Saccharomyces cerevisiae S288C: one gene and its partners. Each later gene encodes a partner of the first gene's protein in a complex. Each region holds a gene or a part of one and is shown in the gene's direction. Other genes may lie near its edges.

Region 1 (7,249 bases):
AAAAGCTTTTCGATGTCTAGAAATACTACCAACAAATACTTGAATGCAGAACAAGAAGGAAAAAAGCTTGATACTAGTCAAGCTTAATGATTAGATTCTGCGGGAGCCGCGGGAACAGAAAATACTAACGTTTTAAATATCATTTAAAAAATTACCAAAGTACAATAAGCAGTTTTTTCTTTGCCTTCTCTACATGTGAACAAATATAATGGGCATCTAACAGGAATTTGTTTTCCTTTAAACCATCAAAGAGAATAGTTCAGTTAATTATGCCGCATCCGTATTGTTACCCGAAATTATGGTGTTTTTAAAACAAAGGATAAGTGATTCATTGAAAGATGGCGCGCCACCACGAACCAAAACACCTCTATAGAGAATAGTACTTTACACTCTTCTGTTCTTTTTTTTTCCAATATTAGCAAATAAGGTCAGGTTCATTGTAACATAGTTAGAAATGGCATCATTACCCAAGAGAATAATCAAGGTATGTTCAAACAAGAGCAGTGGATTATATACGAAATCTGAAGTGACGTTTTCGTCTGAGCCGTCACACTCTACACTGTTTCCTCTTGATAATGGCTAGAACTTACATACTAACGCAAAACTTCCAAAACAAGAAGGCTTTTTTTGTCCAGTTTGTAGCAGCGTTCCGCCTTCCCTTTGTCCATATCCGCAAACGCTCATATGGAGGGAATTCAACAGAACAAACTACTAGGGCAGAAAACGCAAAGTCTTTGTGAACTTTCATATAGGAAACTGAGAAATTAGTAAGTGACCCAGTACCTGGCATTACAGCAGAACCACATGACGACAACTTACGTTACTTCCAAGTAACAATCGAAGGCCCAGAACAGTCACCATATGAAGACGGTATTTTCGAATTAGAATTATATCTGCCTGACGACTATCCAATGGAAGCACCGAAAGTACGTTTTTTAACCAAGATATATCATCCCAATATTGATAGGTTGGGCCGTATATGTCTTGATGTGCTTAAAACTAATTGGTCACCCGCTTTACAGATCAGAACCGTCCTGCTGTCCATTCAAGCACTGTTGGCTAGCCCTAATCCTAATGATCCGCTAGCTAATGACGTCGCTGAAGATTGGATAAAGAATGAGCAAGGTGCCAAAGCTAAGGCTCGCGAATGGACGAAATTGTATGCAAAGAAGAAACCCGAGTGATCATTTCTGTATAAGTTTTCTCAACTGAATATATAAATATATATCATTACTATGCTGCTGCTGCTGCAAAAAAAAAAAAATTTACGATAAATGCAAAAACCATAGATGGTCATCTAAAGAGGCGCATTTCTCAAAAATGTAGCGTCGCTAAAATGGTTTTCTCTACCTTTAGTTTTACGCCAGATTTTTACTAGACGCGTTTTAGTTTACTTTTTCCTACCCTGTTCGTTTTTTTTTTTTTTTTCGCACCAAATTTTTCAACCGTTCCATGGAAGCCGGGATCGACCGTCCTACACTAATGTAAGCATTAGTCCGCTCGAGGGTCCACGTTTAATTCCGGATCATAAAGTTTTTAATGTATTTCTTGTTATTATCGCTTTTGTTGATCTTACCTGCTATTGCATAGAGACAGACAATAGACAAACCAGATTCATCGCTTACTCGGTGGTTTACCTCTTAGTATTACTTTCGCTGCTTCTTTCTGCTGTGACAGAGTCTCAGGTGAAACAAATTAATCAAAAGAGTTGATTAAACGCAAGAGCGTTGAGAGAGTTTAAAAAACCATCCGTTTCTTTTTCTATTTGCTTTCACATTGTTCGTACTTTGTTCCTTTTTTCCTAATCCTTTTAATAATAGAATTCTTTAAAAAGAATCATAGCATAAACTCAACACATATATGTCAAGTCCCTCCAAACCCACTTCTCCCTTCGTGGATGATATTGAGCATGAATCGGGATCAGCATCTAATGGTCTGTCGTCCATGTCACCATTTGACGATAGTTTTCAATTTGAAAAACCCAGTAGTGCGCATGGAAATATTGAAGTAGCGAAAACCGGCGGTTCTGTTTTGAAGCGACAATCTAAGCCAATGAAAGATATTAGCACACCCGATCTCTCAAAAGTTACTTTTGATGGAATCGATGATTATAGTAACGATAATGATATTAATGATGATGATGAACTCAATGGTAAAAAAACCGAGATACATGAACACGAAAATGAGGTGGATGATGACCTCCATTCGTTCCAGGCAACACCTATGCCTAATACTGGAGGCTTTGAGGATGTTGAGTTGGATAACAATGAAGGTAGCAACAATGATTCCCAGGCAGATCATAAGTTGAAAAGAGTACGTTTTGGTACAAGAAGAAATAAGTCAGGTAGGATAGATATAAATAGGTCAAAAACATTGAAATGGGCCAAGAAGAACTTCCACAATGCTATTGATGAATTCAGTACAAAAGAAGACAGTCTCGAAAATTCAGCCTTGCAAAATAGGTCTGATGAGTTGAGAACAGTTTACTATAATTTACCCTTGCCGGAGGACATGCTTGACGAGGACGGCTTACCGTTGGCAGTTTACCCGCGTAATAAAATCAGGACTACGAAGTATACTCCATTAACATTTTTTCCCAAGAACATTCTTTTCCAATTTCATAATTTTGCCAATATTTACTTTTTAATACTGTTGATTCTAGGTGCTTTTCAAATATTTGGTGTGACAAATCCAGGTTTTGCATCCGTTCCCCTAATTGTCATCGTAATTATCACTGCTATTAAGGATGGTATCGAAGATTCCAGAAGGACTGTATTGGATTTAGAAGTTAATAATACAAGAACACATATCTTAAGCGGGGTGAAGAATGAAAATGTTGCTGTTGATAACGTTTCCTTATGGAGGCGTTTCAAGAAAGCGAATACAAGGGCATTGATTAAAATTTTTGAGTATTTTTCAGAAAACCTCACTGCTGCTGGTAGAGAAAAGAAGTTACAGAAAAAAAGGGAAGAATTACGAAGGAAGAGGAACTCGAGAAGCTTTGGGCCACGTGGGTCTCTGGATTCAATTGGTAGTTACAGAATGTCTGCCGACTTTGGTCGTCCCTCTTTGGATTATGAGAACCTGAATCAAACAATGTCACAGGCTAACAGGTATAACGATGGTGAAAATTTAGTTGATCGAACGCTACAGCCAAACCCTGAATGTAGGTTTGCCAAGGATTACTGGAAAAATGTTAAAGTTGGTGATATTGTTCGTGTTCACAATAACGATGAAATTCCTGCTGATATGATCTTATTATCGACATCAGATGTTGATGGCGCTTGTTATGTGGAAACCAAAAATTTGGATGGTGAAACAAATCTAAAGGTCCGTCAATCATTAAAATGTAGCAAGATTATTAAGAGTTCAAGGGATATTACCAGGACGAAGTTTTGGGTTGAAAGTGAAGGCCCACATGCCAACTTGTATTCTTATCAAGGTAATTTCAAATGGCAAGATACACAAAATGGAAACATCAGAAATGAGCCTGTAAATATCAATAACTTATTATTGAGAGGTTGTACCTTGAGAAACACTAAGTGGGCCATGGGTATGGTTATTTTTACTGGTGACGATACCAAGATTATGATAAACGCTGGTGTCACTCCAACCAAAAAATCCAGAATTTCAAGAGAGTTGAATTTTTCTGTGATTTTGAATTTTGTACTATTGTTTATCCTATGTTTCACTGCTGGTATTGTTAACGGTGTTTATTATAAACAGAAACCTCGATCGAGAGATTATTTTGAATTTGGTACCATTGGAGGTTCTGCCTCAACTAACGGTTTTGTTTCTTTTTGGGTGGCGGTTATTCTTTATCAGTCATTGGTTCCGATCTCTTTATATATTTCTGTGGAAATTATTAAGACAGCACAGGCTATTTTCATTTACACTGATGTTTTGTTGTATAATGCCAAGCTAGACTATCCATGTACACCAAAGTCGTGGAACATCTCCGATGATTTGGGTCAAATTGAGTATATTTTTTCAGATAAAACAGGCACCTTGACACAAAATGTGATGGAATTCAAAAAATGTACTATTAACGGTGTGTCTTATGGACGTGCCTATACGGAGGCACTAGCAGGCCTGAGGAAGAGACAAGGTGTTGATGTCGAATCGGAAGGTCGTCGCGAAAAGGAAGAGATAGCAAAAGATAGGGAAACAATGATCGACGAATTAAGATCAATGAGTGATAATACACAGTTTTGTCCGGAGGATTTAACTTTTGTATCTAAGGAAATTGTGGAAGACTTGAAAGGATCCAGTGGCGACCATCAACAAAAGTGCTGTGAACACTTTTTGCTGGCGCTCGCATTATGTCATTCTGTCCTTGTGGAGCCAAATAAAGATGATCCTAAAAAACTGGACATCAAGGCTCAATCACCTGATGAGTCTGCCTTAGTTTCCACCGCCAGACAATTAGGGTACAGTTTCGTTGGTAGTTCAAAAAGTGGATTGATAGTAGAGATCCAGGGTGTTCAAAAGGAGTTCCAAGTTCTGAACGTACTTGAATTCAATTCGTCGAGAAAAAGGATGAGTTGCATTATCAAGATCCCTGGCTCTACACCAAAGGATGAACCTAAAGCACTGTTAATATGTAAAGGTGCGGATTCCGTTATCTATTCAAGATTAGATCGCACTCAAAACGACGCTACTTTGTTGGAAAAGACGGCCCTCCATTTGGAAGAATATGCCACAGAAGGTTTAAGAACATTATGTTTGGCTCAAAGAGAGCTCACGTGGTCCGAGTATGAACGTTGGGTTAAGACTTATGATGTGGCCGCTGCATCCGTTACTAATAGGGAGGAAGAGTTGGACAAAGTTACTGACGTTATTGAACGTGAGCTTATTTTGCTTGGTGGTACGGCCATTGAGGATCGTTTACAAGATGGTGTTCCTGATTCGATTGCCCTCTTGGCCGAGGCCGGTATTAAGTTATGGGTCCTAACGGGTGATAAAGTGGAAACTGCCATTAACATTGGTTTTTCCTGCAATGTTTTGAACAATGATATGGAATTATTGGTTGTGAAGGCTTCCGGCGAAGATGTAGAAGAATTTGGTAGTGACCCTATTCAAGTGGTTAACAATTTGGTGACAAAATACTTAAGGGAAAAATTTGGCATGAGTGGATCCGAGGAGGAGTTAAAAGAAGCTAAAAGAGAGCATGGTTTGCCACAGGGAAATTTTGCTGTCATTATCGATGGCGATGCGCTAAAAGTTGCTTTGAATGGTGAAGAAATGAGACGCAAGTTCTTGCTACTGTGTAAGAATTGTAAAGCTGTTTTGTGTTGCAGAGTTTCTCCAGCACAAAAGGCTGCAGTGGTCAAGTTGGTAAAAAAGACCTTAGACGTTATGACCTTGGCCATTGGTGATGGTTCGAATGATGTAGCCATGATTCAATCGGCGGACGTTGGTGTTGGTATCGCGGGTGAAGAAGGCAGACAAGCTGTCATGTGTTCTGATTATGCCATCGGGCAGTTCAGATATGTGACAAGACTGGTATTGGTGCATGGTAAATGGTGTTATAAGAGACTGGCAGAGATGATCCCACAGTTTTTCTACAAGAACGTTATTTTTACGCTATCCCTGTTCTGGTATGGTATTTACAATAATTTCGATGGGTCGTATTTGTTTGAGTATACGTACTTGACATTCTACAATCTTGCATTCACATCCGTACCTGTTATTTTACTAGCAGTACTCGACCAAGATGTTTCCGACACCGTTTCGATGCTGGTGCCACAGTTGTACCGTGTGGGTATCCTAAGAAAAGAATGGAACCAAACCAAATTTCTTTGGTACATGTTGGATGGTGTATACCAATCTGTGATATGCTTCTTTTTCCCCTATTTGGCGTACCATAAAAACATGGTTGTAACTGAAAATGGCCTTGGACTAGACCACCGTTACTTTGTCGGTGTCTTCGTTACAGCAATTGCAGTCACTTCATGTAACTTTTACGTCTTCATGGAACAGTATAGATGGGACTGGTTCTGTGGCCTATTCATATGTCTATCACTGGCCGTGTTTTACGGCTGGACGGGTATATGGACAAGCTCGTCGTCAAGTAACGAATTTTACAAGGGTGCGGCGCGTGTATTCGCACAACCTGCCTATTGGGCAGTACTTTTCGTTGGCGTGCTGTTCTGCCTACTGCCAAGATTCACCATTGACTGTATCAGAAAGATATTCTATCCGAAAGATATAGAGATCGTTAGAGAAATGTGGTTACGCGGTGATTTTGACCTCTACCCACAAGGCTACGACCCTACGGACCCTAGCAGGCCCAGAATAAACGAAATACGTCCCCTTACAGATTTCAAAGAGCCCATTTCACTGGACACTCATTTTGATGGTGTCAGCCACTCACAAGAGACCATAGTCACAGAGGAAATACCAATGAGTATACTCAATGGTGAGCAAGGCTCGCGCAAGGGGTACCGTGTCTCTACCACTCTGGAACGCCGTGACCAGCTCAGCCCCGTTACAACAACGAACAACTTGCCTAGAAGATCAATGGCCAGTGCCCGCGGAAATAAGCTCAGAACTTCGCTGGATCGCACAAGAGAAGAGATGCTTGCCAACCACCAACTGGACACAAGATACTCCGTGGAAAGAGCACGTGCCTCGCTGGATCTGCCGGGTATCAATCATGCAGAGACGCTGCTCAGCCAGCGCAGCAGGGACCGTTAATGATTACAATTTTTTTCTTCCTTTGTACTATGTATACCAATGTGATATGATATAGATTTCATATAGGATGTGATGATGTGTATCACCCGGCACGGCTCTACCCCGCCCTGTGGGGTGTGGAGAAAACGCCGCGCAGAGCCTTGAGTAGGAAGGGGCTGGGTTCTCCCCTTCCTGCCGGGGTCCGCCCGGCGCCAAGAGTAAGAGAGCGAAGCCGGAGACGTAATATGAAAAAAATTTTGAGGGGAAAGGGCGTCCGCAAGGGCAAGGGCAAGGGGAAGGGGTGGCGTTTTGTGCTTCAAGGAATTATATTTCGTTGTTTTCCGCACTATGGCGGCATTGTGGCAAGTAACTACTTTACGGAGAAAGACTAGAAAATGGTTACAACTGCCACTATTACCGCTTCGCATTCTCTTGTCTTACAGGTCCCTTGAATTGGCATTTACGTTTACATCCGATCCGGTTTTTCACCAAAGAGAAAGGAAAGGAAAGGTAAAAATAGCAAACCGAAAAAGAAAACAGTATTTTCTCTCTGTTTAGGATTATTACCACT
Region 2 (3,330 bases), on another chromosome or scaffold:
TGTAGGTAAAGTTTTCTTAGTAAGAGAGAAAAAGACGAATAGAGTGTATGCTTTGAAAGTCTTGAGTAAAGACGAAATGATAAAAAGAAATAAAATCAAACGTGTTCTGACAGAACAAGAGATTCTTGCCACCAGCAATCATCCCTTCATCGTCACACTATACCATTCGTTCCAATCTGAAGACTATTTGTATCTCTGTATGGAATACTGTATGGGCGGGGAGTTTTTCAGAGCTTTACAAACAAGGAAAACCAAATGTATATGTGAAGACGATGCCAGGTTTTATGCCAGTGAAGTGACAGCAGCACTAGAATATTTACATCTGTTGGGTTTTATCTATAGAGATTTAAAACCAGAGAATATTTTGCTGCATCAATCAGGCCATATCATGCTTTCTGACTTCGACTTGTCTATTCAGGCTAAAGATTCCAAGGTTCCTGTTGTCAAGGGTTCCGCTCAATCAACCCTTGTTGATACCAAAATATGCTCAGATGGGTTTAGAACCAATTCCTTTGTCGGAACTGAAGAATATATTGCCCCTGAAGTCATAAGAGGTAATGGCCACACCGCTGCGGTCGATTGGTGGACGCTAGGGATTTTGATCTATGAAATGTTATTTGGTTTCACTCCATTCAAAGGCGATAACACAAATGAAACTTTTACGAATATTTTGAAAAATGAGGTCAGTTTTCCCAATAACAATGAAATCTCCAGAACTTGTAAGGATTTGATCAAAAAATTACTGACAAAAAATGAATCTAAAAGACTGGGTTGCAAAATGGGCGCTGCCGACGTGAAGAAACACCCCTTTTTCAAGAAAGTCCAATGGTCTTTGCTGAGAAATCAAGAACCGCCTCTGATACCAGTGTTATCTGAGGATGGATATGATTTTGCTAAATTATCATCTAATAAGAAGAGACAGACTAGTCAAGACAGCCATAAACATCTCGATGAGCAAGAGAAAAATATGTTTGAAGAACGAGTTGAATACGACGATGAAGTCTCTGAAGATGATCCATTCCATGACTTCAATTCAATGAGTTTGATGGAACAGGATAACAATTCAATGATTTATGGTAATACCAATTCTTATGGGAAAATTGCATACACTCCAAACTCCAACAGATCGAGGAGTAATAGTCATCGAACCTTTTTTAAGAGATAAAGGGGGCTTTGACGTATAAGTGTCGGTATTTTTTTTTTTTTTATTGATTTTTTTTTCACTCTTATTTTTTCCCTCATTTATTCATCATACATTTAACGAACTCTATTTCTTTTCAAAATCCTTATCTACCTATTTTTTTTTCTTTATTTTCTTTCCTCTGTCAGTTAGTCAGTAGTGTGTAACTTAAATAAATCATATATCGGTGTTTCAATTTCTAGCATTCTGTGTAAACATCAGATGAAGCATTGCCTTTCTTTTCAATGAACTCTATGTAGTTTTTTCGATTTGCTTGCGTACTATTTTTCACGCGATAGTTGAAGAAACGATAGAAGGATGGCGCAATATACAAGTTAAAAGCAAATAGATATCTAATCAATAGTTAACATCTAGAATAAAGTGCTGGAACTTAGATTTTTTTGTGCAATATGGGACTGATATTAAGGTGGAAAGAGAAAAAACAGTTGTCTAGTAAGCAAAATGCTCAAAAATCCAGGAAACCGGCAAACACATCGTTTAGACAACAGCGCCTCAAAGCCTGGCAGCCCATCTTGTCGCCACAGAGCGTACTGCCGTTGCTTATTTTGATGGCATGCGTCTTCGCACCCATTGGTATAGGGCTGGTGGTCAGCACGATAAGTGTCCAAAGACTAGTGGTAAACTACACAGAATGTGATGCATTGGCACCGGCGAAGCATTTTGAAACGATTCCCTCCGAGTACGTGGACTACCACTTCAGTAAGAAAGTCGCAGTCCAACCTCAATGGATGGTACTTACGGATCCTGAATTAGGCAATCAAACTTGTCGAATACAGTTCGAAGTTCCAAATCATATCAAGAAATCTACTTATGTTTATTACCGCCTAACAAATTTCAATCAAAACTATAGAGAATATGTGCAATCTCTTGACCTAGACCAATTAAAAGGAAAAGCATTGATCGGAAATGATCTGGATCCAAACTGTGACCCTTTAAGGACGGTAGAAAATAAGACCATATTCCCCTGTGGATTGATAGCAAATTCGATGTTCAATGATACATTCGGCACAACACTTACTGGTGTAAACGATACTGCAGATTATTTGCTTACCACAAAAGGTATTGCGTGGGACACCGACAGCCACAGATATGGAAAGACCGAATACAATGCATCCGATATCGTACCGCCCCCAAATTGGGCCAAGTTATTTCCCAATGGCTACACTGACGATAACATTCCAGACCTACAAAACTGGGAACAGTTCAAAATATGGATGAGAACTGCTGCATTGCCCAACTTCTATAAGCTAGCAATGAAAAATGAGACCAATGGGTTAGGTAAGGGTATTTACATTGCTGATATAGAACTCAACTACCCAGTAAGATCTTTCTATGGAACAAAATCTTTTGTATTAACCACAAACAGTATTATCGGTGCTGGAAACGAGGCATTAGGGATTGTTTATTTGATTGTTGCCGGGATTGCAACTCTTTTCGCCATACTATTCCTGATAAAAGTCATCTTCAAACCAAGACCTATGCATGATCATAGCTACCTAAATTTTGAGAACAGCGATACCCCATTCGATGAGAGTAGTGTCGTTAGTATTCCATTGAGAGAAATTTTATGATTGATTATCATTTACTATAAAATCCCTGCGTTTGATTCGGTCTCTAGGGAAGCGTTGTAATTTCATGTATATTCAAAATAAGGACGAGGTTATATACCATACTATATTATCTCCTTGCATTCTGTATCAAACACTTTATTCAGTACATATACGATACCTATATATTCATTAAATGTTCTTTTCGCTTTATTTCAGCAAGGTATAGTGCTATTTAAAATCCATAATCGTTATTGCGTCTCTTTAGTCTGTCCTTCATTGCCATTACTCCACTACTTGCGTCTGGTGGCGGCGTTGGCGTGCTGGAGGTGTTGAAACTGTTCGACGTTTTACTTCGACCGAGACTTGCCCTGAATTCTTGGCCTGCTGAAGGTCTAGTCGGCCGTGATGAAGCTCTTCTCGGTGTCGCGCTAGAGGAGCTTGTATGATTATTGTATATATCTTGAAACGATTTACTCGCAGGCGTGTACTCCGGTGTGTTCCCGTTTGAAGAAGGTGTACCCATAGGATCTTCTGAAGAAGCCTTCCTTCTGTTAGAAAAGGATGGCGAGAAATGACGCG
Region 3 (3,366 bases), on another chromosome or scaffold:
TGGGTCCAGTATAAGGGGATTGAGCCACGATGCTGTACAAAAGAAGTGTATCGATCACTATCAAAAAATCCATTTCCCGGTTGATGGAATGGAGTCAAAATCATATCTGTTACAATCTGTTCAGTTTCGACTTCGTTAGCAACATGACCTTTATTGTTAACACCACGCTTTAGAAAGCGTGCACCAGCAAAATGGTGGGATCTTCTTGCGATTAAAGTAATATATATGGACTTACCCAAAACTGAAACATTAACCTGGTCAATAAATCCATGTATAATGCATTGGAACCAATCAAAAACAGTGTCAATACAAGCAAAAATAGGAGATAATAAATTGTTATTCCAAACAAACATTTCGTTATAGTCGGTTATCCCGCAAGGTATTGTAATATCACATCGGTCAACCGCTTTTAATTTCTCTCGCAATATATTGGTTTGTAAAGTATTTGTGATATCGTAGGTATAACTGAAATAAAAGGTTTTTGTTAGGTCTAAATCCTTAAATATATTCAATAGCCTTGCCTCATCTGAACTTTTTTCAGGTTTTTTATAGTTGTTCGTAATAGGAATAATATCAATACCATCAATGTGATAAATACCATGACCGCCAATCACTGCAACTTGGCTATACTTGGTAACCATTATTAAATAGTACCAACAGGTGAATTTAATGAATCCCAGAAGACCGTATCCTGTAATTTTCTTATGTAGACCATCTTCAGTTGCTTCTTCTAAACTTGCTAGTACATTCATGATTTCATTTCTGGTGAAGAAGACATTATCCTCCAACACAGTTAATTCTCCACGGGGTACAGTAAGATCAATTTCTAGAATACGAAACATGGTTTCCCTTTTATTGCTTCCAACAATATACATTCGATCTTTGGTTTCGTATAACGTATATTTACCCATTACAAACTTAGAGGTCTTTCTCTGCTTAGACCCAGATGTGGTAAGTATACCTCCACCAAGGGTATGCTCCATTGCATCATTGTTCATCCTTGTCCTGTTTCTTTTTTGCTTTGCGTTACGTTACTACGTTTCAAAACTAATTAATTTCAAATAATATCACAGCATTTACATTTCAATAGTGCTCGGCTAAGTAGATGAGGACTATCGTAAAGAGACCAATAGAAGAGCTTGAAAACTTTACAAGAAATATATACATGTATATATTATATATATATGTTTAATGCAATTGCAAGAGGTATTAACAAATCAGGAGGACAAGTAAATGAACGTGCTGCAATAAACCCAAATGGCGTAACGAGTGTAGTGCGCCTTAGTGACCACCGCAAGATAGTGCCAGTAACTAGTGTACAAGTGTGGCAAAATGCAAATGAGCGTTCTGGTAGTATGTGTCCAATGTTGTAGTGTCAACTTTGTCTGCCGTTCTGGTGGCTTTTGACAGTTGATTTTCCAACGATTATTATTATGCGCGAAATTAAAGAAAAGGAATCTTGTATGATGATAAAATAAATAGATCAAATTAAATCATCAGTACAGACCAGAAAACAATTAAGTGTCCTTTTAGAAATACGAGAGGGTGGTAAAATATTGAAGAATGGTAAATTTCGATTTGGGCCAAGTTGGTGAAGTATTCCGTAGAAAGGACAAAGGAGCTATAGTGTCCGGAGACAACCCAGAAGAAGAAGAAGACGTCGATGCTTCTGAGTTTGAAGAGGATGAAGTAAAGCCTGTGCGTACAAAGAACAGAAGACCCAAAGAGGATGCATTCACTCAACAAAGATTAGCGGCTATAAACCCGGTGTTAACGCCGAGGACAGTTTTGCCTCTTTATCTGTTAATTGCTGTTGTATTTGTTATTGTAGGAGGGTGCATATTAGCACAGAACTCCAAAGTGGATGAAGTAACCATATATTACCAGGACTGTATGACTAACGCAACCTCATCATGGAGCGACATCCCTTCTGAACATTGGCAATTTGTATTTCACAAATATAAAACATATAATACTGCACCACAATGGAGGTTTGTGGATGATGAATCAGATGACTTCACAAAACAAAGAGGTACATGCCAAATCAGGTTCACTACTCCAAGTGATATGAAAAATAACGTATATTTGAATTATGTGCTGGAAAAATTTGCTGCCAATCACAGAAGATATGTACTATCTTTTAGCGAAGATCAGATACGTGGGGAGGACGCCTCTTATGAGACGGTGCATGATGCAACCGGTATAAATTGTAAGCCACTATCTAAGAACGCCGATGGTAAAATATACTATCCATGTGGCCTAATTGCGAACTCAATGTTCAACGACACGTTCCCCCTGCAGTTAACAAATGTAGGGGATACGTCTAACAACTATTCATTGACAAATAAAGGAATCAATTGGGAATCTGATAAAAAAAGGTACAAAAAAACCAAATACAATTATACACAGATAGCACCTCCACCATATTGGGAAAAGATGTATCCAGATGGATACAACGAGACGAATATTCCTGATATTCAGGATTGGGAAGAGTTCCAAAACTGGATGAGGCCAGGTGCTTTTGATAAAATTACAAAACTGATCAGAATCAATAAAAACGATACTTTGCCAGCGGGTGAATACCAGTTGGATATCGGTCTGCATTGGCCAGTATTGGAGTTTAATGGTAAGAAGGGAATCTACTTGACTCACGGTTCTCACCTTGGCGGTAGAAATCCATTTTTAGGTATAGTTTACCTGATTGGAGGCTGTATTTGTGCTGCCATGGCATTGATATTATTAACGTTTTGGCTCTTCGGCGGTAGAAAGATTGCTGATGCATCAAGTTTGTCATGGAATATGAAATAGAAAAGGAGTGATGGTTTTCTTTATTTTTAACCCTGTAAAATTTTTTTATTTTTTTATTTTTACTCTTATATATGTATATGTTTGTGTTTATTTCTGAATAAAAATTTATAAGAACCAAATTAAAACCGTTAATAGCCCACCCAAAATTGAAGTAAACGAACTCATACCTAGATGCTGGGCCTCATTATGCGAAACTGTTTTCTTTATTGCAGATTTAATAACGCCTACAGTACCGGTTAAAGTACCCATCCCAATAGACCCCACGGAGGGAGAAGCGACTGTTACGTACTGGGAGGAGAAACGCTGGACAAAAGTAGTTTGCACAGTGATAGTGTTGCCCTGTCTAACAACAGTGACCCACATGGACGTTGGCGCACGTGTGGTTGTGTAAGTGGAGGTTGTACCTTCAGTGATGGTAATGTATGAGTCAATAGATAGACTAGTGACAGCAGACACAGGAGGTTCTGTGAAGTCTGTGGAGGGGTCTGGCCTGGTGCCTGTTTCAGCTACTGCGCTCCCTGTCGATGTGGTCGTCTTTACACTGGAGGATGAACCAGA

Evidence for each region.
Region 2: DNF2 (region 1) and YNR048W share a complex: the UniProt entries of both Saccharomyces cerevisiae proteins name them as parts of the flippase complex.
Region 3: the proteins of DNF2 (region 1) and LEM3 are in contact, whole or in part, in a cryo-EM structure (PDB 7KY7), measured with the Saccharomyces cerevisiae proteins. Residues at the interface, in NP_010378.1 of Saccharomyces cerevisiae: Arg302 (codon at 2,764), Tyr619 (codon at 3,715), Lys623 (codon at 3,727), Pro624 (codon at 3,730), Arg625 (codon at 3,733), Ser626 (codon at 3,736), Tyr629 (codon at 3,745), Phe630 (codon at 3,748), Glu631 (codon at 3,751), Phe632 (codon at 3,754), Val649 (codon at 3,805), Phe676 (codon at 3,886), Tyr678 (codon at 3,892), Thr679 (codon at 3,895), Asp680 (codon at 3,898), Val681 (codon at 3,901), Tyr684 (codon at 3,910), Asp689 (codon at 3,925), Pro691 (codon at 3,931), Arg1214 (codon at 5,500), His1219 (codon at 5,515), Trp1222 (codon at 5,524), Arg1226 (codon at 5,536), Tyr1248 (codon at 5,602), Tyr1251 (codon at 5,611), Asn1252 (codon at 5,614), Asn1253 (codon at 5,617), Asp1255 (codon at 5,623), Gly1256 (codon at 5,626), Ser1257 (codon at 5,629); in NP_014076.1 of Saccharomyces cerevisiae: Arg51 (codon at 1,714), Arg52 (codon at 1,717), Pro53 (codon at 1,720), Lys54 (codon at 1,723), Glu55 (codon at 1,726), Phe58 (codon at 1,735), Thr59 (codon at 1,738), Gln60 (codon at 1,741), Gln61 (codon at 1,744), Arg62 (codon at 1,747), Leu63 (codon at 1,750), Ala64 (codon at 1,753), Ala65 (codon at 1,756), Ile66 (codon at 1,759), Asn67 (codon at 1,762), Pro68 (codon at 1,765), Val69 (codon at 1,768), Leu70 (codon at 1,771), Val75 (codon at 1,786), Leu78 (codon at 1,795), Tyr79 (codon at 1,798), Ile82 (codon at 1,807), Phe86 (codon at 1,819), Ile93 (codon at 1,840), Glu102 (codon at 1,867), Tyr174 (codon at 2,083), Asn176 (codon at 2,089), Lys181 (codon at 2,104), Phe182 (codon at 2,107), Ala183 (codon at 2,110).

Annotation. Positions count from the first base shown.
Region 1 is NC_001136.10:629,422-636,670, forward strand, and holds DNF2 (aminophospholipid-translocating P4-type ATPase DNF2), read left to right. Parts: upstream 1-1,860; coding exon 1,861-6,699; downstream 6,700-7,249. Other genes in the region: E2 ubiquitin-conjugating protein UBC13, read left to right, coding at 455-484, 753-1,184. UniProt on the Saccharomyces cerevisiae protein: Catalytic component of a P4-ATPase flippase complex which catalyzes the hydrolysis of ATP coupled to the transport of glucosylceramide, phosphatidylcholine, phosphatidylethanolamine, and small amounts of phosphatidylserine from the lumenal to the cytosolic leaflet of the cell membrane and ensures the maintenance of asymmetric distribution of phospholipids.
Region 2 is NC_001146.8:710,040-713,369, forward strand, and holds YNR048W (putative aminophospholipid translocase regulatory protein), read left to right. Parts: upstream 1-1,590; coding exon 1,591-2,772; downstream 2,773-3,330. Other genes in the region: serine/threonine protein kinase FPK1, read left to right, coding at 1-1,165; MSO1 (Mso1p), read right to left, coding at 2,984-3,330. UniProt on the Saccharomyces cerevisiae protein: Accessory component of a P4-ATPase flippase complex which catalyzes the hydrolysis of ATP coupled to the transport of phosphatidylcholine and small amounts of phosphatidylethanolamine from the lumen to the cytosolic leaflet of the trans-Golgi network and ensures the maintenance of asymmetric distribution of phospholipids.
Region 3 is NC_001146.8:30,381-33,746, forward strand, and holds LEM3 (Lem3p), read left to right. Parts: upstream 1-1,563; coding exon 1,564-2,808; downstream 2,809-3,366. Other genes in the region: FIG4 (phosphatidylinositol-3,5-bisphosphate 5-phosphatase), read right to left, coding at 1-998; KRE1 (Kre1p), read right to left, coding at 2,914-3,366. UniProt on the Saccharomyces cerevisiae protein: Accessory component of a P4-ATPase flippase complex which catalyzes the hydrolysis of ATP coupled to the transport of glucosylceramide, phosphatidylcholine, phosphatidylethanolamine, and small amounts of phosphatidylserine from the lumenal to the cytosolic leaflet of the cell membrane and ensures the maintenance of asymmetric distribution of phospholipids.